Linked DNA regions of Lonchura striata. The protein of the gene in region 1 interacts with the protein of each later gene in a pairwise test. Links are inferred from orthologs where the notes say so. Each region holds a gene or a part of one and is shown on either strand. Other genes may lie near its edges. The genes, in order: AP2B1, SLC25A6, AP1M2 and NEU4.

What was found.
Region 2: the proteins of AP2B1 (region 1) and SLC25A6 interact in binary tests that used the Homo sapiens proteins (3 or more experiments, as listed by UniProt). The link is inferred for Lonchura striata from reciprocal best matches to the Homo sapiens genes AP2B1 and SLC25A6.
Region 3: the proteins of AP2B1 (region 1) and AP1M2 interact in binary tests that used the Homo sapiens proteins (3 or more experiments, as listed by UniProt). The two-hybrid records come from large-scale screens. The link is inferred for Lonchura striata from reciprocal best matches to the Homo sapiens genes AP2B1 and AP1M2.
Region 4: the proteins of AP2B1 (region 1) and NEU4 interact in binary tests that used the Homo sapiens proteins (3 or more experiments, as listed by UniProt). The two-hybrid records come from large-scale screens. The link is inferred for Lonchura striata from reciprocal best matches to the Homo sapiens genes AP2B1 and NEU4.

What each region holds. Positions count from the first base shown.
Region 1 is NC_134622.1:5,985,519-5,992,811, forward strand, and holds the start of AP2B1 (AP-2 complex subunit beta), read right to left. Parts: upstream 3,005-7,293; 5' UTR 2,930-3,004; exon of another isoform or gene 2,921-2,929; intron 2,881-2,920; exon of another isoform or gene 2,857-2,880; intron 1-2,856. Other genes in the region: PEX12 (peroxisome assembly protein 12), read left to right, coding at 3,070-3,195, 4,174-4,718, 5,370-5,769. UniProt on the Homo sapiens protein: Component of the adaptor protein complex 2 (AP-2). Adaptor protein complexes function in protein transport via transport vesicles in different membrane traffic pathways.
Region 2 is NC_134604.1:83,189,227-83,196,869, reverse strand, and holds the start of SLC25A6 (ADP/ATP translocase 3), read right to left. Parts: upstream 3,011-7,643; 5' UTR 2,912-3,010; coding exon 2,801-2,911; intron 1,699-2,800; coding exon 1,212-1,698; intron 518-1,211; coding exon 377-517; intron 1-376. UniProt on the Homo sapiens protein: ADP:ATP antiporter that mediates import of ADP into the mitochondrial matrix for ATP synthesis, and export of ATP out to fuel the cell.
Region 3 is NC_134623.1:1,063,546-1,070,477, forward strand, and holds the start of AP1M2 (AP-1 complex subunit mu-2), read right to left. Parts: upstream 3,009-6,932; 5' UTR 2,954-3,008; coding exon 2,912-2,953; intron 762-2,911; coding exon 605-761; intron 526-604; coding exon 458-525; intron 361-457; coding exon 230-360; intron 1-229. Other genes in the region: SLC44A2 (choline transporter-like protein 2), read left to right, coding at 5,967-6,003. UniProt on the Homo sapiens protein: Subunit of clathrin-associated adaptor protein complex 1 that plays a role in protein sorting in the trans-Golgi network (TGN) and endosomes.
Region 4 is NC_134612.1:5,205,126-5,212,534, reverse strand, and holds the start of NEU4 (sialidase-4), read right to left. Parts: upstream 3,016-7,409; 5' UTR 2,928-3,015; intron 1,642-2,927; 5' UTR 1,637-1,641; coding exon 1,436-1,636; intron 1,105-1,435; coding exon 849-1,104; intron 443-848; coding exon 1-442. Other genes in the region: GAL3ST2 (galactose-3-O-sulfotransferase 2), read right to left, coding at 4,922-5,782, 5,857-6,136, 6,558-6,644. UniProt on the Homo sapiens protein: Exo-alpha-sialidase that catalyzes the hydrolytic cleavage of the terminal sialic acid (N-acetylneuraminic acid, Neu5Ac) of a glycan moiety in the catabolism of glycolipids, glycoproteins and oligosacharides.

The DNA.
Region 1 (7,293 bases):
AAAGGCTGCCAGCAAAGCAGTAAATCATCTGTTCTCTAAATGCTGCCTTGTCTTGCCTCTAAACCCTGCAGGTCTTGCTGGCTCAGCAACAAAAGGACCAGCACAGCTTTGAACTCCAGGACTGCCCAGCAGCAAAGTCAGATTGTTCCTCCTTAACTCCTTCCTCCCTCATCCCTTCACCAACCCCAATGCCATCACCATTCCATTTTTCCCCATCCACCTGGACCAGCTGAACACCTCAGCAGTTGAATTCCAAGCAGCTGCCGACGGGCAATGCCCCAATTTCCACCCCTTTCTCCTGGGATCATCCTTTCCAATTGCCAAACATCTGCATGAGGATCAACCTGTTGCTTTTCCCAGTTTCCTGGAGCTGCTGCCTGCCCTGTGCCCACCTGGTTTCCACCTCATCCAATTAGGCTGAATTACTGGGTTTGGTTTGATTTCTCTCCCTTTCTGCTCCTGCCAAGCCTGGAGACAGCTCTGGAAACACATTCCTGGTGCAGAGGAGGTTTAACCTCCTTCCAAAACAGAGTTGGGAAAGCCATGTGAGCCACAATGAATGCAATTCTTCCAGCAAAAATCTAACAGCCCCCCCTGAAAGCAGAGGCTGCTGTGAAGCTTGTTTTGTAATTAAAATCAGAGCCTGTGCTCAGCTGCAATATTACTGCTGACAGAGTCCTTCAGGTTTGAGCTCAGCTTAAAAGGAAGACTTAAAATGTTTTTCTCTGTGAGAGTATTTGGCACAGTGCCATGCCCAAAGCACTGAACGTGGCCTTGATGTTTGCATTATGTGGGGATTTGTCATCCAGGGTCACATCTCAGCTGAGCTGCTCTAACACAGCTTTAACTGGGGCCAGAGCAGATTAGAGAGAAAATGGAGGGGAGGGAAAAAAAACCCAGCCCAAACACCATAAACATCAGCCCATTTGAATAAAGCCACACACAGAGAGGAAGGAACCCTGCTGGCTTTCAGAGATGGTTGTTAAACCTCAAGTGCAACATATTTTGCTGTTTTTCTCCTTTCATATACTTGGAAACATGAAGAATCCTAGAAACGCTCAGACAGGGCTAAGCACAGCTCATGCCTTTCCAACCTTCTTTCATGGATCTAAATGAGAGCTTAGGTCAACAACCAGCCTGCCCTATTCCAGGTGCAGCAGAGGGTAAAGCTCCTTTTCTCACAAGCACACAGATTGCTGCTTCATGTGTGTCAGAGCTTGCTTTGCACACTGTTCAGAGACAGCCTGCCAGCAGCACTGGCTATTATCTCATCACTAACAATCTCAGCATTCTTTACAGCAAATGGAACCAGATATTTAAAACACTGCTGTTTGTGTCACTGCAGAAAATGCCAGCTCCTTGTACGCAAATCTAAACCCAGGAGAGCTAAGGTAAATTAGAACATCAAGAACAGCCTTGTATTTTCAGAAGAAAAATCTACTTTAGACTGCCCCTCCTCACTATTGTTCTATGCCCAGCACTTGCTGAGATGGAAACAGGTAAGAGGTGTTCAAAGCTGACAGCAAAAGGCTCCTCCTGATCCAACCCCAGCAAAGGAGAAGAGATGAGAATGAGGAATGGCTCCAGAAAGCTCCAGCAATGCTTAATGCTACAAACAGTGGCTTGATATTTCAGTGTAGGCTGAACCAAAGCAAGATAAGCCTCCTCAGCCCCAACCCACACAGAAAACCTGACCCTGTGTCTGACCAACACCTGCTTGACCCCACACATGACCCCAGGCAGCCTCACCCGCTCCCCAGCACTGACCCCACACAGGAGGGTGACAGGTTTAAGGGTCTTGGATTAAGGCAAGCTCCTGGACACTGAAACCATCAATCCCTAAATCTCTCAACTGATCCCTGGTTTAATTCCAGTGTAAGTGGTGCCACCCATTTTTCCTGGAAAGCCTCTCAAGGAGCTGTGTGACAGCCCAAGTGTGGCCCAGGGCCACTGGAGAACCAGGAAGATAAACACAACAATGGAACATGGATGGCAGAGGAAGAGCTGCTCTGCAGCCCTGAACTTGTGCTGGCACAAGGATTTTGTTCCCATTCTGGAGACGCAACACCCCCTTGGTGGTCCCCATTCCACCTGTTCCTCCTACCACCTACCACCATTCCTTGGAAGCCCCATCCCAGCTTTGCTGCCAGCCCCTCCCACACCTCCAGCAGGACTCCCAGCACCCACCCACACTCCAGACTGGCATCCCCCTAAGCCCCCTGCCCACCAGACCTTCCCCAGATCTCTCCCAGGATCCCCCAGCTGCAGGCACATTCCCCACAAATCCCAGTTTCCCTCCCAGCATTGCCTGCCAGTCCCTCTTAGTACCCAGCCCTTATCCCTAACTGCTCCCACTGCTACCCCAGTACCTTGCTGTGCTCATTCCCATCCCAGTCCATCCTCCAGCACCCCCACCTCACCCCAGGACCCACTGACCCCACTCCTCACCCCTCCACCTCCTCTGCAACCACCTGCCCACTCCTCCCATCCTCTTCCAGTCCACCTCCAGAACCACTCCCAGTGCCTGACCAGCGACTCTCCCCACGCCACTCCAGTTCCCCCTCCCAGGAGCACTCACCCCCTCCCAGTACCCCCCTGGTGCCCCTTCCCACCCCACCCCAGGTGTCCCTCCCAGTACCCTTCATCTCTCCCAGTATCCCCTTCCCACCTATACCAGTGCCCCCCAGTATCCCCTCCCATCGTCCCTAAGCAGCATCCCTCTCTCCCCGCCCCACCCCAGTACCTCACAGCTTCTCCCCCACCCACCCCTCCCCACCCTATGGCAGCACCCCACCGCCGCCCTCCCCTCTCCCAGATCCCCTCCCAGCACCCGCTCAGCCCCTCCTCATTCCCCACCAGCGCCCCTCCCCGCCGCCCGGCCGCCGCTCCCAGCGCCCTCAGCCCCGGCCCCCTCACGGACCGCACTCACCGCTGCGGGGGCGGCGGCGGCGGAACCGGAAGCGGCGGGGCCGGGCGGGCTCGCGACGGCCCCGCCACCATAGAGCGGCGGCGGCGCGCGGCGCGCGCTTCCGGGAGAGCCCCCTGGCGGCGGGGCGGCGGGCCGGCGGCATGGCGGAGCTGGGCGCGCACCTCACGGCCGCCCCGGCCGGCGAGGAGCGGCCGTCCGTGTTCGAGGCGGTGGCCCAGGACAGCCTGATGGCCGCCGTGAAACCCGCCCTGCAGCACCTGGTCAAGGTGAGGGCGAGGCGGGCCGCGGGTGAAGGGAGAGGAGGGGGGGCTGGCGTGTGACTCCGGCCGCGCTCAGGGGCAGCGGGACGCTTGGGAGCCACCTGAATTGTGGTTGTTATGTGTAATAAATATAATTTGCGCCATTCCTTGTATGAAATATGTAATATTGAATACTTGTTAAATCATGCCCGTCGTATTAGTTCGCCCCGCACCCTTGCAGGCGAGACTGGGTGTATATTGGAAACTGATTTATAAGTAAAAAGATGTGGCTCGGCCAGGAGCTGGGCCATGGCTGGGCTCCAGGTGTTGATCATCGGTGCTGATCGTCCAAGATGGATATGGAAATCCTCAGACAGATCCATGTGAATGCAGCCTTCCCGTAAACTCTCATCAAGAATTCAACTACTCCGGACATTGAATTATTTCTCCTCATCACCAAAAAAAGAAAATCTTATTAACCTATAGACTCTGAATAGAAGAAAAGACTAACTGCTGGAATCTTGGCCTCAGGCGGAATTTTCCCTATAAAAACCGCTTGTACCAGGATGGAGGTGTGGGCATAGGAGAAAACCTCTGCTGAGGCTGACTCCTTGTTGCACACCCAGGGTCGATCCCGGGCTCGGCTCTGTCCTTTCTGTGTGGCTGGCTAGATAGAATTTGACCGCAAATAAAATTATTTTTATTTTTAATCTGGCTGAATAAATTCTCGTTTATAACATGGTGAGAATGAGAGGCATCGTTTATAGCTGCTCTGATTTATAATTTAGCGCTTTACTCTGCTTTTTACATCCTTCCCTTCCTCAGGCACAGGCTGCCCAGAGAAGCTGTGGCTGCCCCATCCCTGGGATGTTCAAATCCAGATTGGACGGGCCTTGGAGCAGTCAGGGATAGCAGAAGGTGTCGGGCTGGAACCGCATGATCTATAATGCTCCTTCCAGCCCAGACCACTCTGATTCCTCCTGTTTTGTGTCCCTTTTCCAACAGGTGCTTGCTGAGTCTAATCCTGCCCGGTATGGGTTCCTCTGGCACTGGTTTGATGAGATCTATGTCCTTCTGGATTTGCTGCTCCAGCAGCACTCCCTGGCCAGGTGCAGTGCATCCTTCTCTGAGAACTTCTACAGCATGAAGAGGATCCCAATGGGAGATGGCAGACAGCGACCTCTGGCCACAGCTGGCCTGCCAAAGAGGCAGCACTGGAAGTCTCTGCTCCTGCTGGTTCTTGTTCCTTATCTGAAAGGGAAGCTGGAGAAACTGGTGTCCAGCCTGAGGGAGGAGGATGAGTACTCCATCCACCCTCCCTCCTCATCCTGGAAGCGCTTCTACAGAGCCTTTCTAGCTGCCTACCCCTATGTAAACATGACCTGGGAGGGCTGGTTTCTTATCCAGCAGCTCTGCTACATCCTGGGCAAGGCTGAGCATCATTCCCCCATGCTAAAGCTGGCTGGTGTCCGCCTGGTCAGGCTGACTGCAGAGGATATCCAGGCCCTGGAGAAGAAATGGGCTGAAACCACCTCAAGTCAAACACACAGGTATGGCAGAACCTGGCTCAGGTGTTGCTCTCCAGGGGGTTCTGTGGGCATGTAAATTTAGAGATGATGCTGCAAGTACAAGTGCCTTGTTCTCCAAAAATTCAAGATGAAAGTTTGCTCTTGACAAAATGTGCTCCAAAAGGATGTATTGTGAGTGAAAATAAGTAAACCAGTAGCAGGGATTAGCTTTAAACTATTTTGTGGTAATATTTCAGAATTTGGGGGCGTTTTTGGGCATGGAAGCCTTTATTCTGTTCAGTCTTCCCCTGCACTTTTCCAGCAAAGGAGGTGCAACAGTTGCAGCAATGTTGCTGAAAGGATTGAAACTTCTTTCTTTGATTTTCCTAAGCAGCAGTTAGTCATGGGCACACTCAATACCCTGTGATGCAGGAGTGAAACACTCTGTGGTCCAGGATCCTTTAATCCAAATTCTTCTGATTTAGACTTCTCAAAAAAGCAGCATTTGGATATTCCTTAAAATAAAAAAAGTATCTGAAACATCCTAGTAAGTGCAAATAGGGGGACGCATTGACCAACTAACTTAGCGTTAAGGAGCTGTGTGAAGCAGTCACTCCCCAGGTGCTTTTCCCATGGTTTCTAGATGGATAAATGTGCAGTAGTAACCACCTCTCCTGCTTCTCTCTGCTCCAGCTTTATCTCACGAGTGCAGTTGGCCCTGAGGAAAGCTCTGGCTGGCATTGCCTTCTCCCTGTCCACCGGCCTGTCCGTCAGCGTGTTCTTCCTCCAGTTCCTGGACTGGTGGTACTCCTCAGAAAACCAGGAGACCATCAAGTCCCTGACAGCGCTGCCCACGCCCCCACCGCCCGTGCACCTGGAGCAGGAGCCCGGCTCTGCTCTCCTGCCCAGCCTGAGGACCGTGTGCCCCCTGTGCCGCAAGGTCCGCGTGAACGCCACGGCCCTGGCCACCTCCGGCTTCGTGTTCTGCTACCGCTGCGCCCACGGCTACGTGAAGGCTCACCAGCGCTGCCCGGTCACGGGCTATGCCACAGAGCTGCAGCACCTGGTCAAACTCTACTCCCCTGAGAGCTGAAGGGCTGCCAGGAGTCTCCAGCACCTCTTTGTGCATCCCTTGGAAGGCTTCAGAGCACCGCAGCTCCTCGGTGAGCTCTGCAGCGCCCTTGGACTCGGTGGTTGGTCAGCTTTGCTGCCTTTGCACACCCTGGCAATGCTCTGCCCTTTGCTGATAAGCTGTTCAAACATCCTGGCAGTTGCAGAGGGATCATACAGCCCCTGCCTGTCAGCCAGCACTGAAGTGCCATAAAAGACCAGCTGAAAGGGAGGAAACATTGATCCTCACATCTACATTCCTCTTATCCAAATCGAAGACCAGCACTGGTGCTGCTTGAGGGCGTGAGCCAGCAAATTAAAGAGGTAGGGAGATTCTCTAGGCATGTTTTTCTTCCCTGGGCAGCTTCCCAGGCCCTTGTGCTGCCCAGGGTGAGCTCTGGCTTTGTCAGAGGTGGAGACAGGCTTAAACCTGTGCTCTTCAGCCTCCTGCATTTTCAGGCTCTTCATCTTGGAACTGAGAACATCACCCTCCAAATTCCCATCAACAGTTCTAAATTAAGACTTTTGACTGTTTAAGATGGACAAGAGGAATGTGACATTTTCTGCACAAGAGAGAAAATGACAAACCAGATTAAAACAAACTCCCAATTGATGAGAGGGGTTTATTGTTAAAGAAGTCTTTTCATTCATTATTACCTGCTTTTATAAAGCGAAATTCTTTCTTGACTGAGAACCTAATTTAATTCTTTTCTGGTTATTGAAAAAACAGCTTGCTTCTCTGGGGAGCAAGAGAGAGACATAAGAGAGACAAGACTAAAGCTGCTTTCATTTTTCCATGTGATGGTAGTGGATGTAAGATTAGCATTTTGTAGGCTGAGAATCTTTAATGTCTGAGCATTACATTGCAATTATTCCATTCCCAACCATGTAGCACATTCATATCGGAACAAAACATCCTTCCACTGAACAGAGGAGGAAATAAAAGCTGTGTGACATGGCTGGCTCTTGCTTGACACCTGATTTTTCAGATGAAAGGTTGTTTTCCTTACTCTAGGGAGCAGCAGTACTCCAGATATCACGGTGACAGTGCTTAGAGAATACAAGAGCAAAGTCTGCTGCACAGAGTCCAGGACCCCACTCTGGTCTTTCCAGATTTAGAGATATTTTCTAACATTTAATCCAGACATCTCATTTTCTCTCCACTTTAGCTCTGCTTCAGAAGATAAAAATCCCCAATATCCTCCTTCACCTGTAAGCAAGAGAATAAGGTTATTGAATAATGTGGGAAAATGCAGTAATTTGAATCTTCCCCAAACACCTAATAAACGAGATTTGTTCCTGGTGCTTTATTATCTCTGTACACCTCCCTGACCCTTCTACCTGTGCCACTATGGAATAATAAAAACTCTGATTTATCTTCTCCAGTAGCTATGGAGTCCATGAAGATACTTCTCTTCCCTTTAGAGAGCCAGTAAGGACACACATCTTACTGGAAGATGAATCACGTCGAGGTGTGAGATTTTCTGAGCTTCCACATCACTTTTTT
Region 2 (7,643 bases), on another chromosome or scaffold:
CCTATTTTATCTCAGGTAATTTTAACAACTGTCCTGTTTCACTTAACTGCTTTGTGATGTCCCAAACCACAATTTAAAACTTGTAACACAATACTTGCTAAAATATTATGCCTCCTTTTTCATACCTTTGTTTAATCTAACAGTGCAAACAGGCAGTCCATTTTTTAATTTCATATTCCATAATGAAAAGTCCTCAGCATAAATCCTGATAATCTCAGGTTGAGCCTTACTGCATTTCCTCATTTGAGTACAATAAAATAAACCAGATTTTTGGAACAATAAACTCTAACTCTGAGGATGGCTACTAGTAAAAAAGAACTTAATCTTGTTAAAGCTTTTTCAACAGCATTAACAGCTCCATGGATTTAGAGCCTACCTCCTTTGCGTCCTGACTGCATCATCATTCTACGCCGCACTGTATCGAAAGGATAGGAGACAACGCCAGCCACAGCCGTCACTGTCTGGGCGATCATCCAGCTGATAACAATGTGAGTGTTTCTGGGATCTGGGAGCATGCCTGCAGTGAAACAAAAATGGCAATTAGTTTTTTACCTTGCACATCCTCCTCTAGTGCACTCTCTGCATGACAGTTATTTTACTAGATAAACTAGTATGAAACACTGTAAACCCATAGTCTAAATAAAATTGCAGCATAACATTTCACAAACTTTAAACATACTGAAGCTGTATTTGGAAGACTTTCTTCTCAGTAATCACAGTTTAAGTATTTTAAGCACAAGCATTCTTTTTAGACTGGCATGAGAAGACTTGACTATTCACTACACTTTTATTAAAAATACATCACTTAAAGTCACTGTCCCTGTGGATAACATTACACTACAAACTAGCACTAATGGCTTATTTCCCCAGATGTCAAGCTTAAAAATTACTTTGCAGAAGGCACTGCTCAGTCCCATTCTGCTTAACACACTTGAACTGGTCCAACGTAACTTCAGTATGCACTGAACAAAAAATAAATTATTCTTATTCTGTCTGGTCACCAACATACTCTCCTGGCCTTAGTAGCAACTGCTTGAAGTACAAAACCAGTACTTGCAGGTAGGCTGCTCCCATTAATACATGTACAAGTTTTCCTTTGTATACAGCAGTGTCAGGGATGTGGCACTGATATCCCCCTTCACTTTCACATATCCAAAAACAGAGAATGCAATTCTAAAAACAGGTTTTTCAGATCCCCTCTGAAATATTACCTTTTGCTGTATCATAGATCCCAAAGTAGGCAGCTCTATAGATGATGATGCCTTGCACAGAGACATTGAACCCTTGGTACAAGCCACGCACACCATCAGACTTGGTGATTTTGACTAGACAGTCCCCGAGACCAGAGAATTCTCTGTCTGCACCAGCTTTTCCAACATCAGCAGCCAAACGGGTTCTTGCAAAATCCAAGGGGTAGACAAAGCAGAGGGAAGTGGCTCCAGCTGCACCACCAGATGCCAGGTTACCAGCAAAATACCTCCAGAACTGAGTGTGCTTGTCTACACCTCCCAGAAACACCTGCTTATACTTATCCTTGAAGGCAAAATTAAGAGCTTGAGTTGGGAAGTATCTGATGACATTTGCCAAGTTTCCTCGCCAAAAAGACAGCACTCCTTGTTCCTTTGGAATACGCACTACACAATCGATGATGCCCTTGTACTGCTTATCAGCAGCAATCTGTTTGCTTGCATGTTGCACCTGCAAGTAAAAATACAAATATTGATCACTTGCCTTTACAGGTCTATGCTGCAGCTGGGCTTAAACCTGCTTTTACTATAAAACAAAGTTGCTAATTCTGAATGGCCATTGTTGGTATTACAAAGAAGAAGACTAAAAATTGCTTTCAAGCTTTTCCAGAAATCAGAATTTGGCAAAACAAGAACAGAAAACTGTGAGCAATTCCTCTACTACCTGAAGGGAGACTGTAGCAAGGTGGGGGCCAGCCTCTCCTCCCAGGCAACTAGTGACATGACAAAAGAACACAGCCTCAAGCTGTACCAAGGAAGGTTTAGGGGGAAGCAGGGGAGGAATTTCTTCAGATAAGAAGTGTTTAGACTTTGGAACGGAATGCCTAGGGACTAGTGAAGCAACCATCCCTGGAAGTGCTTAAGACTGGATGAGGCACTTAGCGCCACAGTCTACTTTAAATTAGACTACGTGGCATTAGGTTGGGCTTCATGATCTCTCTGAGGTCTTTACCAAACTGATTCGGTGAAGTACAAGGGCAAGTATAAGACAAATACACCACGACAAATACGCCGGGCATACGTAGAGCTGAGAGCCTTTACTGACGAAGCCGGGCCTGGGGAGGGAGTCTCCCGAGAGCCGCGTTAGGGCGGCAGAGGTGCCCGCGGGGCCGGGGGAGCGCGGCGAAGGTCACTCGAGTCACCTTGGGGCGCCGCGGGTCACGCCGGGCCGCGCGCGCCGGCCGCGCCCCGGCCCCGCCCCGCCCGCCGCCCAATCGCGGCCCGGGCGCGCGTCACGTGGAGGCCGCCAAGATGGCGGCGGAGAGCGGCCGCCCTCCCCTCCCTGCCGTGCCCCGGGCGCCGGGAGCGGGGGCGGCAGGAAGTGACACCATCGGCGGCCGCCCCCCTCGGCCCGGCCCTCCCTCCGCTCTCCGCCCCGCATGGCGGGACCGGCTTCGGCTTCCCCGCGGCCGCTCACGTGACCCTTCCGCCAGCCGCCGCCGCCTCGCTCGCGCCCTTTGTCCGGCGCTGGCCGCGGCCCCCGCCCGGCCCGGCGCCCACGGGGGCAGCGACGGGCGCCGCCCGCGCCGCCCTCTCTCGCCCGCACCGCTGACCTGGAGCAAGAGCTTGACCCGCTCGATGGGCGCCACCGCCGTCTTGCTGATGGCGGCGGCGACGCCGCCCGCCAGAAAGTCCTTGAGGAAGGAGATGGCCTGGTCCGCCATGTTCGCGCCGCGCCGGAGCCGCCGGGAAGGAAGCGCTGCTGCCGCTCAAGCCGAAAGGGCGGGAGCGGCCCCGCGCATGGGCTTAATGCCGGCCGCGCCGGCCACGCCCCGCCGCCCCATTGGCCAGCCGCACGGGGGGTGGGACGCGGCCCGCCCGCGGCCCGGCCTCGCGCTCCGCCCCGCTGCGGCGCCAGTGTCGCAGCGCCGCGTCACCCGCCGCGGCCCGCCCGCTGCCCGCGCCATTGGCCCCGCCGCGGCCGCCGGCCCGAGCGCTCTCCGCCATCGCCGCTGCCGGTAGCGCCCGCCCAGCCTGCACAGCCCAGCGGGCCCCCGTACCGCCCGGCACGCAGGCTCTGCAGAGCGATCGATGGGCGCTAACTGTATGAGGTTCATTCAACAGGACCAAATGCCAAATGCACTTGGGTGACGACAACGCCGTGCAGGGCTACAGACTGGTGGCAGACTGGCTAGGAAACTGCCCTGCGTAAAAGGGACGCTGGGTGCTGGTGGCAGCATTGTTAAATGAGCCAGCTGGTGCCCAGGAAAGTCAATGGCATCCTGGCTAAGAGGACCAGGGCAGTAATCCTGCCCCTGCACTCGGCACTGGTGAAGCCACTCCTCGAGTACTGTGCCCAGTTCTGGGCCCTTTAGTCCAGGAAAGACATTGAAGTGTTGGAGTGGATGCAGATAAGGAGAATGAAGCTGGTGAAGCACAAGTCCCGTGAGAAGTGACTAAGGGAGCTGGGGCTGGTTAGCCTGGAGAAAAGGAGGCTCATGGGTGACCTTACCGCTCTCTAGAACCACCAAAAGGAGGCTGTAGCCAGGTGGGGGTCGGCCTCTTTTCCCACGCAGCCAGCGACAGGACAGCTAGCTGCCTGGAAAACAGCCTCGAGCCTTACATGGGGAGGGTTGGGTTGAACGTTAGGAGGAATTTTTTCACAGAAAGGGTGATGAGACATTAGAATGGACTGTCCAGGGAAGTGGTCTTGTGAAAGTCCCTTGGTGTATCTAAGCAAAGATGTGGCACTTGGTGCCATGATCTGCTGATGTGGTTTTGGGTCAGGGATTGTACTTAATGGTCTGAGATTTCTTTTCCTACATAACTGATTCTGTGATTCTGATTCTGTGAAGCTGAGTGTGAGCTGCTGGAGCACTGGCTTTGGGGTGTGGGTCTGTGGGCCCAAGCAGTAGTCAATGAGCAGCACATTCACAAGCTAGTGAACTAGCAGGCTCTGCAGCAATTGCTCGAAGCCCGTCTAGAAGGAAGACACAGCTTTCTGCATGGGCTCCCTGTGGGGCAGCAGCAGCTCTCGGGTGGAGGGGAGCAGATTTCAGGCACTGTCAGTTTTGCTCCATTCTACCTTCTGGGTAATGCTAATCCATGGCATATCCTTATTCCCAAGTTCTGTTCCCACCTCCTCCTTAGTACTGCCAGTGCCAAGGGTCACATCATGGGGCTTTTCTGTATATCACTGAACTGATCCAAGACAACGGAATACCAAAGGACTTAGCTGCAGTTTCCTGTGGGACCATAGGACAGGGTGGTTCCAACTTCTTGTATGGGCACTTGAAGTTAGATGTTGTGAAAACCTCCTCTGCAGGCTGTCAGAGCAAGCACTCCTGGCAGGCACTCAGGCCCTACCAAGACAGGTGTGGTTTCTATCAGTGACTTTGCTAATTTTACTGTATGCTGAAATTGATATTTTGAACTTGTCAAACTTCTGTCTGAAGTTATACCTATTCTTTCTAAAATGTGTTGAAATTGTTCTAGCTGGAGGGCATTAGTACACATCACCTGCTTTCACTTTTAGTGGGTGTTTCCAACCAAAGTAAATAAGGCCAAACCTTTTTTTTAAACAGGCGACTGGTGAACCACAAAGCTGCAGTAGCTGAGATGCCAGAAACCACTGCTTACACATATATGTAATTTGCAGGATTTCAAAATGAGAGCATGTCTCTCAAGAGAGCATGTTGTGAGAAGAAAAAGTGCCAGGCATAGTCTTTGTCTCTGCTCTAGTACAAGATATGTCACTATACTTTTTTTTTTTGCATACCAGAAGATCAAAAGTAAACTGTGCTCTTCTGAAGCATAATAGACTGAAGTGACTCCTGTGCTCACAGAGGGTTTTGCACATAGGGTGTTAGAAGACCATATTCTAAACATAATTTTATGAAATGCTGTGGTACATTCATTCAGGGAGGCACACATAGTTATGGGCTTTTTTTTAAAAAAAAGCCCATAACTGAATGTTAATACTCTCTTAGGACAATACTTTGTCTGCAAGACTTGAGATATTGTTCACCATAAAATTTTCTATTGATTTAAAAAGAACTTCACATTCTAAGACTCTTGAGTATCATCAGTGTGAAAAATGAAGGTAAAAGACACATAACTTGTAATGGGGAACTTGTTCAGTCTGTAATTGTCATGTTCTGTTCAGCTTGGGAGCTCAAAATTAAGTAGAGCTAAAACGGTGTGGGATGATGTTCCTGAAACAAACTCTGTGCCCTCACATTTAATCTCAAATTACAATCACAGGGAAAACTTGTGCTTTTTATATAACTGCCTTTTTTTGGAAGCCTCTCTCAAAGCAGAGCAGTCCATCTTGACTCTCTCAGGAAGCTGCTGCTCCAGTTCTTGTTTCCAATCTTACACCATTGCAGTAGCAGTTTCCAGAGTTGATTAGAGTATGTTTATTTACAGTAGAGGGTATAATATAAAATGATACTAAAATGGATGGTGATGTAGCATTAAAATGATACCAACATTAACCTCCTAGAACAGGGGCAAAGCAATGTGCGCTGGTCTAAAAACTCTACTATTCTACTTGCACCAACTATGAAGAAACAGTGATTTCTCGCAGTGTGAATACTGCCCTTAGGCTGATGACACCATTTGTGTCCTACACATGTTGTGCAGCCACAGAATCTCCTGGCATCATTCTACTGAAGTCTAAAATAAATGTAATCAATCTTTCCCCCTTTTGAGAAGTAACACCAAAAAGCTGACATTTCTCGTTACATTTCTTGTTTATGGTATTGATGGGAAGTTGAGAATGTATTTGGATAATTACAAAACATCAAACATAAGACATCCAGACTACTGCTTAATACGTTTTTTCTAGGTCTTAACACAGAGAATGGCATCTAACAAATTTCCTGTTATTCTGATTCTGATATCTGTGAATCCATGTTGTTCCAGCAAAGCTTGATATTCAGAGCCACTTCTCTCCTTTCCTTCTGTCTGCACAAGCATGTTGAAAGACTGCAGCAGAGCTGTGCTCCTGTTCTTCTTTTCATTATCCAACACCATTTCAACCAGCAAAATTGCACAGCCTAGTTTAAAAACAAATGCATGCAACAGTTCTAATCCATTATCAGGCAAGACAATTTCTGCTGCCATATAGAGGGGTGCAAACTACAAGACCTGGGTGATTTCCTTTATCATTTATAGATTTGCTCTGCTATTAAATCCACTAATCAATGAATAATCCACTCCTCTCACAAACCCCAGGAAATTCCCTTTCACAGTATGGAGTGATGAAACACTCACAAGTCAAATCACGTCTCTGTTTTCAGAGGAAAAAGGGGATAACTTCTGTAGACTTGGCATGATGACTATAGAAAACAGTAAGACAGGAATAGAGTTGCATTTCTTTGAGATATACTGCTGTTTCACATTCATGTTGAAATGCCAAGCAGAGAGAAGAGTGGATGGCAAGCATTACAGAAGCAAAGGAGAAGTCAATGTTTCTGTTCAATACATTCTGTATACATTCTGTATGTTATTTCTGTAGGACCTAAAATTCTTTGTGGTGGGACTGACCTAAGGATGAAAATAGAACTTAAATCATCTGATTTACAGACCCTTCTTCTCCATATTCAGACTTGTGAGGGGAAAGGGATGTGAAGAGAAGGCTACTGACAAAAGCATTGCGATACGTACTTGCCTTTTGGCCTTACACCACCTCAGATGAAAATAGCAGCAGTTCAGAGTGATTTTATTAGGAAGCGCAGTGTAACATTCATACCTTTCTGCACTTTAATACAATCTCCTCAGAGCCATTCCAATTTGTACAGCTCAGACATTCGATAATAATCAAAAAGTTTTAAAACTTAACCCCTCCTCATTCTTCATGTTAGGAAATCTTTCCTTAGTTATGCATATTGCTTAGAATCTTTTCAGTGTTAAGACTACTAAATCCACTCCTTCTACCAGTCAGCAAAAGATATTCAGAGCAACTGAAAAACTTAATTTGTATATTAGTAAAATGAGCTTATAATTCCTCAGGTGACTGGCTGCATCACATGATTGTAGAACACCTGAGTCTGAAACAGACCACAGGAGCTCTCTAGTTCAGCCTCCCACTCATAGCAGGGCAGCTCTGCAATCAGCTCAGCTTCTTTAGGACTGGCTTCACACATGGAAGCCTCCAAGGACAGAGATTCCACAACCTCCCTGGACCATCTGCTCCAACGCTTAATTATCCTGAGAGTGCAAAGCTGTGGTACATGACCACAGACACCATGCCCAAGGGACTAATGCTTATTGTTGTGTTTAATCACAGAGTAAATGAAGGCTGGGTGGTAGCCAAACACATTCTATTCAAATTTTACAGTCAGAGACATAGTACTTAGGGGCACAGTTTTAAAGTCTGTGACAGTTACAAGAGTGCCAACTTTAGGATTTGATTGTTTCTGATTCAAACAGCTTAGAGCAGCTTAAGGAAGA
Region 3 (6,932 bases), on another chromosome or scaffold:
TGGGGTGGGAAGGGGATGGGAATTGGGGTGGGAACAAGGATTGGGGTGGGAAGGGGATGGGAATTGGGGTGGGAACGAGGATTGGGGTGGGATAGGGATGGAGATTGGGGTGGGATAGGGATGGGAATTGGGGTGGGAACGAGGATTGGGGTGGGAAAGGGATGGGAATTGGGGTGGGAAGGGGCAGCGGGGTGGGAAGGGGATCCCGTGGCCCCCTCCCCACGCTCACTCCTGCAGGATCTTGCTGTCCGTGGTCTGCGGGAAGCCGAAGTCCATCAGCTCGTCCAGCAGCTCGTAGACGATGACGAAGTTGTCGCGGACGCTCTCCTCCTCCAGCTCCTTGAAGTACTCGCAGAACACCTTGGGGAGGGGGTCCCAGCACCCCGGGGTGCGGGGAAAACCCTAAATTAGGGTGGTCCTCACCCCCAGACCCACCCGAGACCCCTCCCCAGCTCACCTCCACCACCTTGTAGAGGAAGGAGAAGACCAAGGAGGCGTTGCCGTTCTTCTTGGTGGTGGCCACCACTGAGGTGGGCTTAAGGAAAAACCCGAGGCTGGGGAGGGGTCCCGGGGTGATTTTGGGGAGGGGGTCCCGGAAGGATACGGTAGAGGTTGGCGTGTTTGATCCACAGGAAGTGGAGGTGGCCGCAGGGGAGGACGGGCGTCAGCGTCCCCTCCTCCTCGCGCTGCTGCAGGACCCCCAGGAAGTTCTCGATGTCCCCCAGCCCCACGTCCCCCTTGTAGCTGCGGCTGATCAGCGGCTGCGGGGCGGCCGGGGGGTCAGAAATGGGGACCCCCACCCCAATTTCCCCTCTCCCCAAGTTGCTCGGCACGCCTCGGGGTCGGGGGGGGGGTCACGGTCACTGAGAAGGGCAGAGGGGGCAGTGGGGAGACCCCAGCCCCAACAGAGGGGAGACCCCCACCCCAAGTAGGGTTTGGGGTGGTCGTGGGGGTGTGGGGAGGGGTCACAGTGGAGAAACCCCCTCCCCAAAATCCCCAAAATCCACGGGGTCACGGGGGGGTCACCACCACTGACCTTGGCTGACCTTCAGGGACAGAGGGGACAGTGGGGAGACCCCCACCCCAAGTAGGGTGGTCGTGGTGGGTGTGGGGAGGGGGTCACAGGTGGAGAAACCCCCTCCCCAAAATCCACGGGGTCACGGGGGGGGTCACCACCACTGACCTTGGCTGACCTTTAGGGACAGAGGGGACCCCAGTGGGGAGACCCCCAGCCCCAACAGAGGGGAGACCCCCACCCACATTAGGGTTTGGGGTGGTCGTGGGGGTGTGGGGAGGGGGTCACAGTGGAGAAACCCCCTCCCCAAAATCCCCAAAATCCACGGGGTCACGGGGGGGTCACCACCACTGACCTTGGCTGACCTTTAGGGACAGAGAGGACAGTGGGGAGACCCCCACCCCAAGTAGGGTGGTCGTGGTGGGTGTGGGGAGGGGGTCACACGTGGAGAAACCCCCTCCCCAAAATCCACGGGGTCACGGGGGGGGGGTCACCACCACTGACCTTGGCTGACCTTTAGGGACAGAGGGGACCCCAGTGGGGAGACCCCCAGCCCGGGCAGAGGGGAGACCCCCACCCACGTTAGGGTTTGGGGTGGTCGTGGCGGTGTGGGGAGGGGGTCACAGTGGAGAAACCCCCTCCCCAAAATCCCCAAAATCCACGGGGTCATGGGGGGGTCACCACCACTGACCTTGGCTGACCTTCAGGGACAGAGGGGACAGTGGGGAGACCCCCACCCCAAGTAGGGTGGTCGTGGTGGGTGTGGGGAGGGGGTCACAGGTGGAGAAACCCCCTCCCCAAAATCCACGGGGTCACGGGGGGGGTCACCACCACTGACCTTGGCTGACCTTTAGGGACAGAGGGGACCCCAGTGGGGAGACCCCCAGCCCCAACAGAGGGGAGACCCCCACCCACATTAGGGTTTGGGGTGGTCGTGGGGGTGTGGGGAGGGGGTCACAGTGGAGAAACCCCCTCCCCAAAATCCCCAAAATCCACGGGGTCACGGGGGGGTCACCACCACTGACCTTGGCTGACCTTTAGGGACAGAGAGGACAGTGGGGAGACCCCCACCCCAAGTAGGGTGGTCGTGGTGGGTGTGGGGAGGGGGTCACACGTGGAGAAACCCCCTCCCCAAAATCCACGGGGTCACGGGGGGGGGGTCACCACCACTGACCTTGGCTGACCTTTAGGGACAGAGGGGACCCCAGTGGGGAGACCCCCAGCCCGGGCAGAGGGGAGACCCCCACCCACGTTAGGGTTTGGGGTGGTCGTGGCGGTGTGGGGAGGGGGTCACAGTGGAGAAACCCCCTCCCCAAAATCCCCAAAATCCACGGGGTCATGGGGGGGTCACCACCACTGACCTTGGCTGACCTTCAGGGACAGAGGGGACAGTGGGGAGACCCCCACCCCAAGTAGGGTGGTCGTGGTGGGTGTGGGGAGGGGGTCACAGTGGAGAAACCCCCTCCCCAAAATCCACGGGGTCACAGGGGGGGTCACCACCACTGACCTTGGCTGACCTTTAGGGACAGAGGGGACCCCAGTGGGGAGACCCCCAGACCCAACAGAGGGGAGACCCCCACCCACGGTAGGGTTTGGGGTGGTCGTGGTGGGTGTGGGGAGGGGGTCACAGGTGGAGAAACCCCCTCCCCAAAATCCACGGGGTCACGGCCACTGATAAGGACAGAGGGTACCCCAGTGGGGAGACCCCCAGCCCCAACAGAGGGGAGACCCCCACCCACGTTAGGGTTTGGGGTGGTCGTGGTGAGTGTGGGGAGGGGGTCACAGTGGAGAAACCCCCTCCCCAAAATCCACCACTGACCTCAGCTGACCTTTAGGGACAGAGGGGACAGCGGGGCGACCCCCGGCGGGTTTTGGGGGTCTGTCGGGGGGTCTCACCTTCCCCTTGAGGTCCAGGATGAAGAGGGCGGAGGCGGCCATGGCTCCCGCGCCGTCACCTCCGGCACCGTCACCTGCCCAGGTGCGCGGCCGCGCCTTAAAGGGGACGGCCCCGCCCCTCTCCCCACACCGGGGGTCTCACCCCCTCCCCTGCTGGGGGGAGACCCCCCAACCTCGCCCACTCCACGGCCACCCCCAGCCCCACCCCTCCGTTTTGGGGTGGGGGGCGTGGGGTGACACCCAAAGGTGGGTTTGGGACCCCCGCGTGCCCCACGGTGGGGAGGGGGTCTCTGCGCCCCCAAAATTTCCTTTTTTGGGGGGGGGGGGGGTGTCCCCGCAGCTTCTGATGGCTGGATTCCCCACCCTGGGGGTCGCTGCAGCCCCCCCAGACCCCCTGTGCCCCCCACCCATGAGGGGTCTCCATCAGACCCCCCACCTTGGGTGGTCCCTGCACCCCCAGACCCCCCCCCCACGGGTGACCCCCACGGGAGGGGGATCGCTGCACCCCCACATCCTCCCCTCCGGGGTGGGGGTCTCCATGCCGACATCCCCCACTCTGCGTGACCCCCCCAAAAGCCCCCAGACCCCCCAATTCCCTTCGGGCACCTTCCAATTCCCGCACCCCCCCCCCCGCATCCTCCGGTCCCACCGGAGCCCCGGGAGGGGCGGGACGGGCCCGGGCCCGGCCCCGGGGGCGGATCGGTGCTGAGGGCCGGGCCCGGAGCCGCCCCGCCCGCAGGCACAGCCCGGGGGTACCGGGGATACCGGGGATACCGGGGGGGCTCCGGTGCTACCGGAGGAGCCGCCCAGAGCCGCCATGGACCGGCCCGCGGGCAGGAGGGACCCGGACGGCGATTACGGTACCGAGCATCCGCCCCGCGCCCCGCCCGGGGGTCCCCCCGAACCCCCGGGGTTGGGACCCCCGGCTTCGGGACCCCCATTTTGGGGAATCCCCGTTTTGGGGAACCCAGTTTTGGGGACCCCCCCCCCTTGGGGACCCCCGTTTTGGGGACCCCCATTTTGGTGACCCCATTTTGGGGACCCCCGTTTTGGGGACCCCCATTTTGGTGACCCCATTTTGGGGACCCCCGTTTTGGGGACCCCCATTTTGGTGACCCCATTTTGGGGACCCCCGTTTTGGGGACCCCCATTTTGGTGACCCCCGCGTTTGGAGACCCCGTTTTGGAACCCCCATTTTGGGGACCCCCGGATTTGGGGACCCCCACCCTTGGAGACCCCCACGTTTGGAGACCCCCATTTTGGGGACCCCCGCGTTTGGGGACCCCGTTTTGGAACCCCCATTTTGGCGACCCCATTTTGGTGACCCCCATTTCGTGACCCCCATTTCAGGACCCCCATTTCGGGACCCCCATTTCGTGACCCCCATTTCGGGTCCCCCATTTCAGGACCCCCATTTCGTGACCCCCATTTCGTGACCCCCATTTCGGGACCCCCATTTGGAGACCCCAATTCGTGACCCCCAATTCGTGACCCCCATTTCGGGACCCCCATTTCGAGACCCCCATTTCAGGACCCCCATTTCGTGACCCCCATTTCAGGACCCCCATTTCGTGACCCCCATTTCGTGACCCCCATTTCAGGACCCCCATTTCGTGTCCCCCATTTCAGGACCCCCAATTCGTGACCCCCATTTTGGTGACCCCCATTTCAGGACCCCCATTTCGTGACCCCCATTTCGTGTCCCCCATTTCGTGACCCCCATTTCAGGACCCCCATTTCGTGACCCCCATTTCGTGACCCCCATTTCGTGACCCCCATTTCGTGACCCCCATTTTGTGACCCCCATTTTGGTGACCCCCATTTCGTGACCCCCATTTCGTGTCCCCCATTTCGTGACCCCCATTTCAGGACCCCATTTCGGGTCCCCCATTTCGTGACCCCATTTCAGGACCCCCATTTCGTGTCCCCCATTTCAGGACCCCCATTTCAGGACCCCCATTTCGTGACTCCCATTTCGTGACCCCCATTTCAGGACCCCCATTTCAGGACCCCCATTTCGTGACCCCCATTTTGGGGGGCTCGGGCTCCCGGGCGGGGTCCCGGCGGTGTCCCCGGTGCCCGCTCCGGTACCGGAGGGAGGGAGGGGACCCGGGAGGCAGCCCCGGGCCCCTCCCCGCGGGCACCGGAGCCCCCCGAGCGGCGGGACCCCCCGTTTTTCCCGGCCCGCTCTTTGTTCCCGGTGCTGACATCACCGGCGGCCGCTCCCGGTGATTTATTTACCGCACGAGAACCGGGGCGGGGCTGGAACCGGCGTCACGGCGGCGGGGAGCCGGCACCGCCCGCCGCCCTTTTCCCGGCACCGACCGGACACTCCCCGCCCGGTACCGGCCTCCGGACCGGGTCTGGCGGGGCCGGACCGCGCCCCGGAGCTTCCCGGTACCGGGACCGGAGCTCCTCTGTTTGCCCCGGTGGCTGAATTCCCGGTAACCCCGGGACCGGAGCTCCTCGGTTTGCCCCGGTGCCAGAATTCCCCGGTAACCCCGGAGATTCCCGGGACCGGAGCTCCTCTGTTTGCTCCCGTGTCTGAATCCCCCGGTAACCCCGGAGCTTCCCGGTACCGGGACCGGAGCTCCTCGCTTTGCCCCGGTGCCTGAATCTCCCGGTAACCCCGGTACCGGAGCTCCTCGCTTTGCCCCGGTGCCAGAATCCCCCGGTAACCCCGGAGATTCCCGGTACCGGAGCTCCTCTGTTTGCTCCCGTGTCTGAATCCCCCGGTAACCCCGGAGCTTCCCGGTACCGGGACCGGAGCTCCTCGCTTTGCCCCAGTGTCTGAATTCCCGGTAACCCCGGTACCGGAGCTCCTCGCTTTGCCCCGGTGTGTGAATTCTCGGTAACCCCGGGACCGGAGCTCTCCCCGCTGCCCCCCGGTGCCGGTGCCCGCTCCTCCGCGCTCTCCCCGGTGCACCGGGGCTCCGCCGCTCCCGGGGCGGGGCTTGGCTCCCGTTCGTGCCCCGGAGGGCGGATTTTGGGGCGGGGTCGCCTGAGCCCTGCCCAGCCCGGTGCGAACGGGAACGGGAACGGGAACGGGTCCGGGATGGGGGGACACGGGGACAACTACTACGGCAAACACGGTAACGGCGGCGGGGGCGGCGGATTTTGGGGGGGTCGGAACGGCGACCGGAGCTCGGGGGAATTTTTTGGGGGGTCGGGGGGCTCCGTTCGGGGCTCCCGGTGGGTCCGGGGGGTTTTTTTGGGGGGTTACCGGCGGTTTTGGGGCGTTCCTACGGGCGGGCGGCGGGAGGAGAGAAACGGAAAGGCGGAAAAACGAACCGAAACCGGGCGGAAAACCGGGAGATAAAAAGCGAAAGTAAAATCGGCCGCGCCCCCCCCCCCCCGCGGTTTTTTGGGGGGCCCGCGGTTGGTTTTTTGGGGGTTTTTTGGGGGATTTTGGGGTGAAGCTCCCCGGTAACCGCAGGACCGGCCCGGCAGCCGCGGCCGGGATAAAAACCGGCTCCGGCGGTTCCGCGGCGTCACCGGGAGCGGCGGCCCCGGGGCTGGCCCGGGATCGGTTCCGGGGGTTCGGGGGGTTCGGAGAGGGGAGAGCGGCCCCCCGGAAAACGGAGCCCCCCCAAAAATATCCCAAAGAAAATGGGGCCCCAAAAATATCCCGAAGGAAACGAACCCCCAAAAATATCCCAAAGGAAACAAACCCCAAAAATATCCCGAAGAAAACGAACCCCCAAAAATATCCCAAAGGAAACGGGGCCCCAAAAATATCCCAAAGTAAACGAGACCCCAAAAATATCCCAAAGGAAACGAGACCCCAAAAATATCCCAAAACAAACGAGCCCCAAAAATATCCCGAAGAAAATGAACCCCCAAAAATATCCCAAAGGAAACGAACCCCCAAAAATATCCCGAAGAAAATGAACCCCCAAAAATATCCCAAAACAAACGAGACCCCAAAAATATCCCGAAGAAAATGAGACCCCAAAAATATCCCGAAGAAAATGGGGCCCCAAAAATATCCCGAAGAAAATGAGACCCCAAAAATATCCCG
Region 4 (7,409 bases), on another chromosome or scaffold:
GGCAGCACGGCGTCCCGGGAGGCGGCGCGGACGTACACGAGCGGCGCGGGGAAGCCGATGACGCTGCCGTGACAGCCGTGGGGCGGCTCCACCAGCCGCTGCACCAGCTGCCCCCCGTGGAACACGGCCCCGTCATCCGTGCTGAGCGCCTGGACCCTGAAGCCCAAGGGGCTGCGGGCGTTGCAGTAGAGGACGTTGGATCCGTCCTCCTCGTCCACAGAGACCAGCTGGCACTCGCCCGTCTGCAGGTTGGGGATGAACTCCCCGAAGCGCCAGCCGCGGCCGTGGTCGTCGCTGTAGAAGGCGAAGGAGTGCGGGGTGGTCTTGCAGAGCTGCCCGAAGCACTCCTTGCAGTCGATGTGGTAACTGTAGGCTGGCACCAGCAGCCGGCCGGAACGCAGCTGGATCCCGTGCCCGGGGCCCAGCGCGAATGTCGCCCAGTCTGGGGAGCGGAGATGGGATGGGGTGAAGGTGGGATGGGGTAAAGAGTGACCCCCACAGCGCCCTGCCAGGCCCCGTGTGGAAAGGTGCCCAGGGATTCCTCCCAGTCAAGCCAAGCAGTGGGGTGGGAGGGCAACAGAGCCCAGCGCTGCCTAGTTGTCCTCACACATGCTCCCCGTGGCTGTGGGGCCTCTCCATCTTCTCCCCACTCTCAGTAACTGATATGCATACTCCCTCCATCTTTTTCCCCTCTGCTTGAGGTCCTCTTCCACCTTTTTGGAAGCCTGTGGGATTCCTGCGTCAAAATCACCCCAGCAACGTCACTGGTGGTTCCAGGAGACCAAAACCCAGGGACACCCCTCCGTGCTGGCTGCTCTCCCCTCTCCTCACCCCCTGCAGCTGGGTACCTTTGATGGTCGCCCCAATGACCTGCTGTGTCAGGTCTGTGGCTGTGCTCCAGCTCAGGCCCTGGTCAGTGCTGGTGACACAGCAGAGGCGGGTGACATTTTGGCCAGTGACAATCTGGTAGGCTTCAGGCGTCCTGCCCAGCACCGTGATGAAGAAGAGGAAGAGCGTGCCCGTGAACTCATCGTAGAGGGGGCAGGGGTTCATTGACCGGTGGTGCTGCAGCGTTGCCGTCTCCAGCACTCGCATGTCTTCCCACTGCCCAGGGAGGAGGAGGAGGAGGAGAAGGAGAGGACAGAGAGGGGTGAGGACCATGCCCAACTTTTTGCTCATCCCTGAAGTGCTCCTGGCTGGGCTGGACAGGGCTTGGAGCAACCAGGGATAGCGGAAGGTGTCCCTGCTCACAGCAGGGCACGGAATGAAATGGCCTTTGAGGTCCCTTCCAAGCAAAACCAACCCGTGACCCTGGGATTCACTCCACCCACGCCAGCCCCTCTCCCACGCGGCTGTCTCCAGGAGCCTGGCTGTGCCCCACCAAGCGATGAGGACAGCCCCAGCGTGTCCCCACGCCGGTGCAGCCCCGTCCCACCTCCACGTAGCTGCCGTAGATGGTGCCGCGGCGCAGCACCAGCAGGTTGGCGTGGGCATCGTCCGCGCTGAGCCGCTCCTCGGCGAACGCCAGCAGCTTGGCCACGCAGGGCAGGTAGAGCAGGGCGGGCACGCGGTACGTGACACCGCTGGACTCCTTCTCGAAGAGCACGGTCCGGGCCGGGAAGTGCCGGGAGCCCATGGTGGCTGCAGCAGAAGGTTGTGGTGGGCCGATGAAGGAGGGGAGGCCGGCTGCTGGGCATGGCCAGGGGCACGGGGCTGTTCTTGGAAGGGTTTGGGGTTTTACTTGGTGGGCTTGGGTCTGGGTAACCCCCCGGGAGCAGGGGCTGACAGACAGGGCTGGGGTGGAGAGAGCGTCCACTGGCAAGTCACCACAGCTCAGAGATGGGTCAGGGCATAGTGTATCAGCAAGGAGGCTGACCTGGGGACCCCAAAATAAAATGAAGTGAATTTGATCTTTGTAATATATAATTTAGAATAAATTTGTGCTCGGGACTAAAAAATACAGTAGTCTTTTTAATAGAACCAAGTGATGGGAAAGAGCAATATACACAGGGTGAATTCCTGTCTCAAAATATGGTTATTCTGAAGGATTATTCTGTCTAGAAAATATGCCTTGAATGATAAGATAAATATTCATTGCCGGAACAAAATATTTGAAGATATTACCATTTAACAGGATTTTAGCAATCAGAGTATTCCAGGAAAACCTCCATTTAGAAACACCACAAGAAAAGTACACGCATGAATATGTGAAAAAAGGACAAAAAGAAACAGGAAGACACCTCCCCCCCACCGCCCCCCCCAGAATCCCACTAAGTCTAGAAACAGTATAAAACAAAGCCTGTAAAATCAGTACCCTGTGAACTACTAGGGTATAGTGCTGCATTAGTCCAGACCCTGTTCACCCAGCACCGATCGCCTGGCTCGGTGCTGACTTGCTTGTAGCTTTTCCAGATTTTACTTTGATTCAATTTAACGGATTCCTTTAGTTATTAAATTGACTGATTCATTTATAACGATCTTTAAGATGCTTGTCCGGGAAATGAAGGCCAGTGAGCGAAGAGCAGGGTGAGACCTGCAGCTCCATGCTCTCCTCCTGCAGCAGCACGGGGAGGGCAGGGACCTCCAGAGCAGCCCAGGCTCATCGGGACAGGGTCGGGGCTGCTCCTGCTCCTCTGCCGCCTCCAGCGCAGCGCACCCAGCGGATCCCTCGTTTCCCCCGCTCCCTGGGGGGATCCCGAGGTGCGCAGCACGGACAGGGGGGTCCCCAGCCGGGCTGTCCCTGCGGCAGTGGGTGAGAGCTGTTCCCAAAGCCCTTCCTTCAGGGACAGGTCAGCTGTCGCCAGCTTCCATGTCCCTACATTTTCCAGGAGGAGCTCGGGCGGAGCAGTCAGGAGCCGCTCTCGGCTGTGCGTTCATCGGGAGCTTTTGCTGAGCCGACACCCCCCGGAGAAAGGGAAGGCACTCACCGGGTCCTGCTCAGCGGAGTGTGCCGTGTCCCCGGCCGCAGCAGGAGGCAGGCTGGCTGTCCGCAGAGCTGCCGCGTCCCCGGCAGGGACCCCCGCCGGTCACGGGCTGCCCCGGCGCGGCCCCGCAGCGACGCTGAGCCAGCGGCGGCACGAAGGCGCCCCCGTGGCCCGGGAGAGCCCCGAGACACCTCGCCCGGAACCCCGCCAGGGGAAGCAAGGGGGTCCATGGGGCGGGAATCGCATCTCCTGCCTCAGTTTCCCTCCTCCTGCAGGCTGGGAGAGGCTACACTTCCCTGCCCAGGGGCTCCAGCCCGTGCTCACCACAGCCCACCCCGCCGTGAGCTCCCCAGCCTGGGAGCTGTGGTCCAGAGGGTCCCGGGACCCCCAGTCCTCCATGGACCTCCAGCCCTCCCAGCCTTTCCAGGATCCCCAGCCCTATTGGCACCCCCAGCACCTGAGAATGCACAAACTTCCCAGGAATCTCAGCCCTCCCAGGATCCCCAGACTTCCCAGGAGCCCCACATACACATAGATCAGCTACTAAGAAACCATTTTTATACCTATACTCTAATATTCCAATATTCCATCTGTATGATCAGTTTAGCTAAAAGGGCTTGACAAAATCCATAGGGCAAATCACGCATCAGAAGCTCCAAGGGGAAAATTGAGGTGGAGGCTGGAGAATTGCCAGGGAAGGGCCCCTGGGATGGCCCAGGGTGACCACGTGTGGCTCCAGCAGCTCCGCCTGATTGCCACAAAAGCCTCGGGTTAATTTTAGTGAGGGAAAGTGCTTTTAATCTGGATTGTTCCTGCTGGACACCTGGGCTGGTTAACCCCTGCCTCAGCTGCTAAACACAACTGAGGAAAATCCTGGCTCTGCTTCTCACCCCTCTCCCCCTGACAGCATCATTCCTGCTTCCTAGCTGGAGCTGCTGCCCCACATCTTCACCCCCAAGGCAACATCTGGACCCCAGATGCATCCTCCCCATCCTGCCATCCAGGGCCCTGCTGCTGCAGCAGTGCCAGGAAGGTTTGTGAGGATGGCAGCACCAAGCCAAATGGATTTGGTGTCACTGCTTGTCACCTGCTCCCAACACTTCTGTCAGTGCCAACTTACGCTGACAAAACCCCAGTGTTTTAAAGCTGGGCCAGCATCTCCTCCTGCTTGTGCTGGTCAGGACAGCAGTAGGGATCTGGATGTACCAGTGTGCCCAAAGCTGTCCCTCACTCCATCCCCTCCTAATCCCTGCTGGAGAGTTTGGCCAACACAGCAATGGGAGCCCCAAAAACGTGTCTGCTGATAAAGGGCTTTGGGGATGCTGCACCCAATGGAACATCCATGCCCGGGCACCCTTGCCTGAGAGCAAAGGTCAAAACCACGAAACCCCCTCCCAGGGGAGCACCGAGCTCTCCTATGTGGGACAGTGTCCCATTCACCTGGTGACACTTGTGAGAGGCACAGCTTACATGCCACTGGGCAAGGCAGCCCAGCCTGCCTGGCTTTGGGCAGGATGCCTGAGACCCCCACACCAAAGGCAGCTCCAGCAGCGTGTGGTGGTTAGTCCTCATGAGCGTGGACTCCTGCTTCTTCCAGCACTGTGTCCCCTTCTCACACCGCCCTCCCTGTCCCCTAAACCCTCCAAAGTCAGTACTTGCTCCAGTGAGCTGTGACCAGACTGATGGATATCAAATAAAATGAAATGAAGGCAAATGATCACGCTCCCGATTAATGATTAAGAGGCTGGAATATCTTGACCAGTTGCAGCCAGCCTGGCTCCCTCCAGCCAGAAGCAGGCAGGTGGGATCACCCAGGATCTGGATGATGCAAAGCCTTTGGCTCAAGGTCCCCAAAAAGAGACCAGCCACCAACTTGGTGTCCCTAAACAAAGCCCCCACTGCCTTCCTCTCAATGCACAAGAGTCCTGTGGGTCAGTTACATGTCAGACAAGGGGTGATGCAAAGCGGTGGGAAGCCACAGTGTGTTGCCACATGTCCTAGTTGGACTGTGGGAGCTGCATCTTCTCCTGGAGACTGGTCCACAGCAATGGCAGCCCCACATCCTTCCTCTTCTTGTGCGGGTGTTGGACAGCATAAAGGTAGGACGTGTACTGGAGCTCTGGTATGACCATTTTCTGGCAGGTTCTCAGAGTCTTGTTGTCCAAGTCTTGTTTGAGGTTGTAACCCAGGATATTTGCAGCCCCTGACTGGAAAGGCAGAAGAGCTTTATTCCTGATGTGATCCTTCCTCACTGCCTCCTGCTCTGAGAGACAAGTCTCCATGAGCTCCTTCTGTCTGGTCCGCAGGTGATCCACCTCCTCTCCCAGCACCCTGAGCCCTATGGTCTGCTCAATTCTCCTCCAGAAGCTCTGGTTGAAGTGCAAGTAGAGCTTCCAGTCCAGCGAGCACCACACTTTTATCTGCTCCTCGCTTTCCGCAGTCAACGTCTGGACAGTGTCCTGGCTTCTGGAATTGAGCTTGAAGTAAATCACATCATCCAGGTCCCAGCACAAAGTGTGCTTCAAGAGGATCATGGACTCATCAAAGTAGTCTGCTATCAAGATGAGGTGGAAGTTCTGCTCGATCTCTTCCAGGACAGCCTGGGTGTAGTTCTTGTCATCCTTCGCGTTGTTATCGTAGCCAAAGTCAAACCACATGATATTCCTGGCGTACATGTTTTTCCTGTAATCTGCTGGGTGGTAATACTTTGTGGGTGATTCCAGGAATTCGTTCACATTCTTGGAACTCCGGAAGGCAGGCACAGAGTCCTTGTAGTAGATGTAGGAAGACTCCAGCAGAAGAATGGGGTTCCTCAGGATGGAGAAGTAGAAAGTGTTGGCTGCCATCACCTTTTTTACCTATTTGTGGAAGGAAGAAGAGGTTAGTCCTGTCCCAACCAAGTTTCTCCTCAGGTGTCATGGCTCTTTCTTACCTCCAAGGGGTTAAACCGCAGGTGATTGCACATGATGTTGTAATTTTGGCCTATGGTTTCAAAGCCCTCCACAAAGTGGGCCACAAAAGTCCTTGGGTATCCCAGGTGGACGAGCTGGTCAGCAGGGAGGGCGACAGTGAGGTTGTACCTCTCTGCGAACCTGAACATGATGTTGAGCACAGTGCTGCTGGCAGTCTTGTGGGTTTTGAGGAACATGACGTTCGTCTTGGCATGGCACAGCGTGGGAGGGATCAGCAGCTCCTCGTGGCTCTTCGAGATGCTGCAGGAAGGTGACACATGGGGCAAAGAGACTCTCTGGTGCTGCACCCCATCTCTGAGACCTGGCAAAGCCACACCCAGGTGCTCCTCTGACACCACACCTGCAGATGGTCCAAGGCTTTATCTGAGTCAGCCCCAACCCTCTAGTGTAGAGGTTTTCCCCCTCCAGTTTTCCCCCTCTCCAGATTCTCATTTACCAAAGACTTTAGCTTAATCCCCTTTCCCTGCACAGCTGGTTTGGTCCCTAAGAGGCTGCACTTTGGCTAAATCAATTCCTTCCCCAAACACGGATCTAAGACCTAGTTTTAAGCCACCACCCTTTGAACATCAACCCAAGGCCTCATGAGAAATAAATCAGGTGTCAGAGATCAGTCCCAGCTGCTCCAGGTACAGGAAACTGTGCAGCCTTGCTTCTGACTCACCTGTAATTCTTATTCTTCATATGGAGGAATCCTGAGAGGCAGGAAAGTCCCAGGCAGAAACTGAAAATGATGAGACACCTGGCATGCCTGGGAAAAAAAATAAGTTTCAGTGGATTTTTATCCAATAGTCCTCCAAACCACCGCATTTCACATCTTGCCCTTGGGAACTTTAATCAATGTGAGCACAGTTTTAAATCTCAGTTTTGGCAGCCACCTTTGGACCCCAAGCTGTGTTAGAGGCAAGACAGTGAGAAATTGCACTTTCACTTTTACTCTCCTAATTCAGCCTTTGGCAAGACACAATGTGCTTCAGGCAGAGCCTAAGCTCTTCCCACAGCCTCCTGCTCTGCTTGGCTGCCTTTTGTTTTGCTTTTCTTTTGGTTTTCTGGGGCTTTAGAGCTTATTCACTATTCAAACTCCTAGATTATTCACCAGAAAACGAGCCCTTTGTAGGGACATAAAGACTTCCCTGGCAAGAAACCTGAGCAGCTCCTGTAATCACATCACTCCAGAAGATGGGGATTGCAAAAAAACCCACTAAACTAAGGAAAAAAATCCACTAAACTGAGGTTCTTTTGCAATATAAATATGATTTCTCAAGGCAGAAAATCAAATAACCCAACAGAACCTGTAATGGTTTTATTACACCTCACTTTGAAAAGGGGGAGGGTGGATAATGATGAGGGTGGAGTATTTTCCAGCGCTAATTAAGCAACCATGATGTATCAAAGGTTCCCTGCACATTGCAGGGGGTTGGAGTGGCATGATCATTAATGTCTCTTCCAATTCAAACAATCCTATGATACCATGATAACCAGTGTACTCCAGCTGGGACTCAGAAGGGATCTTTTG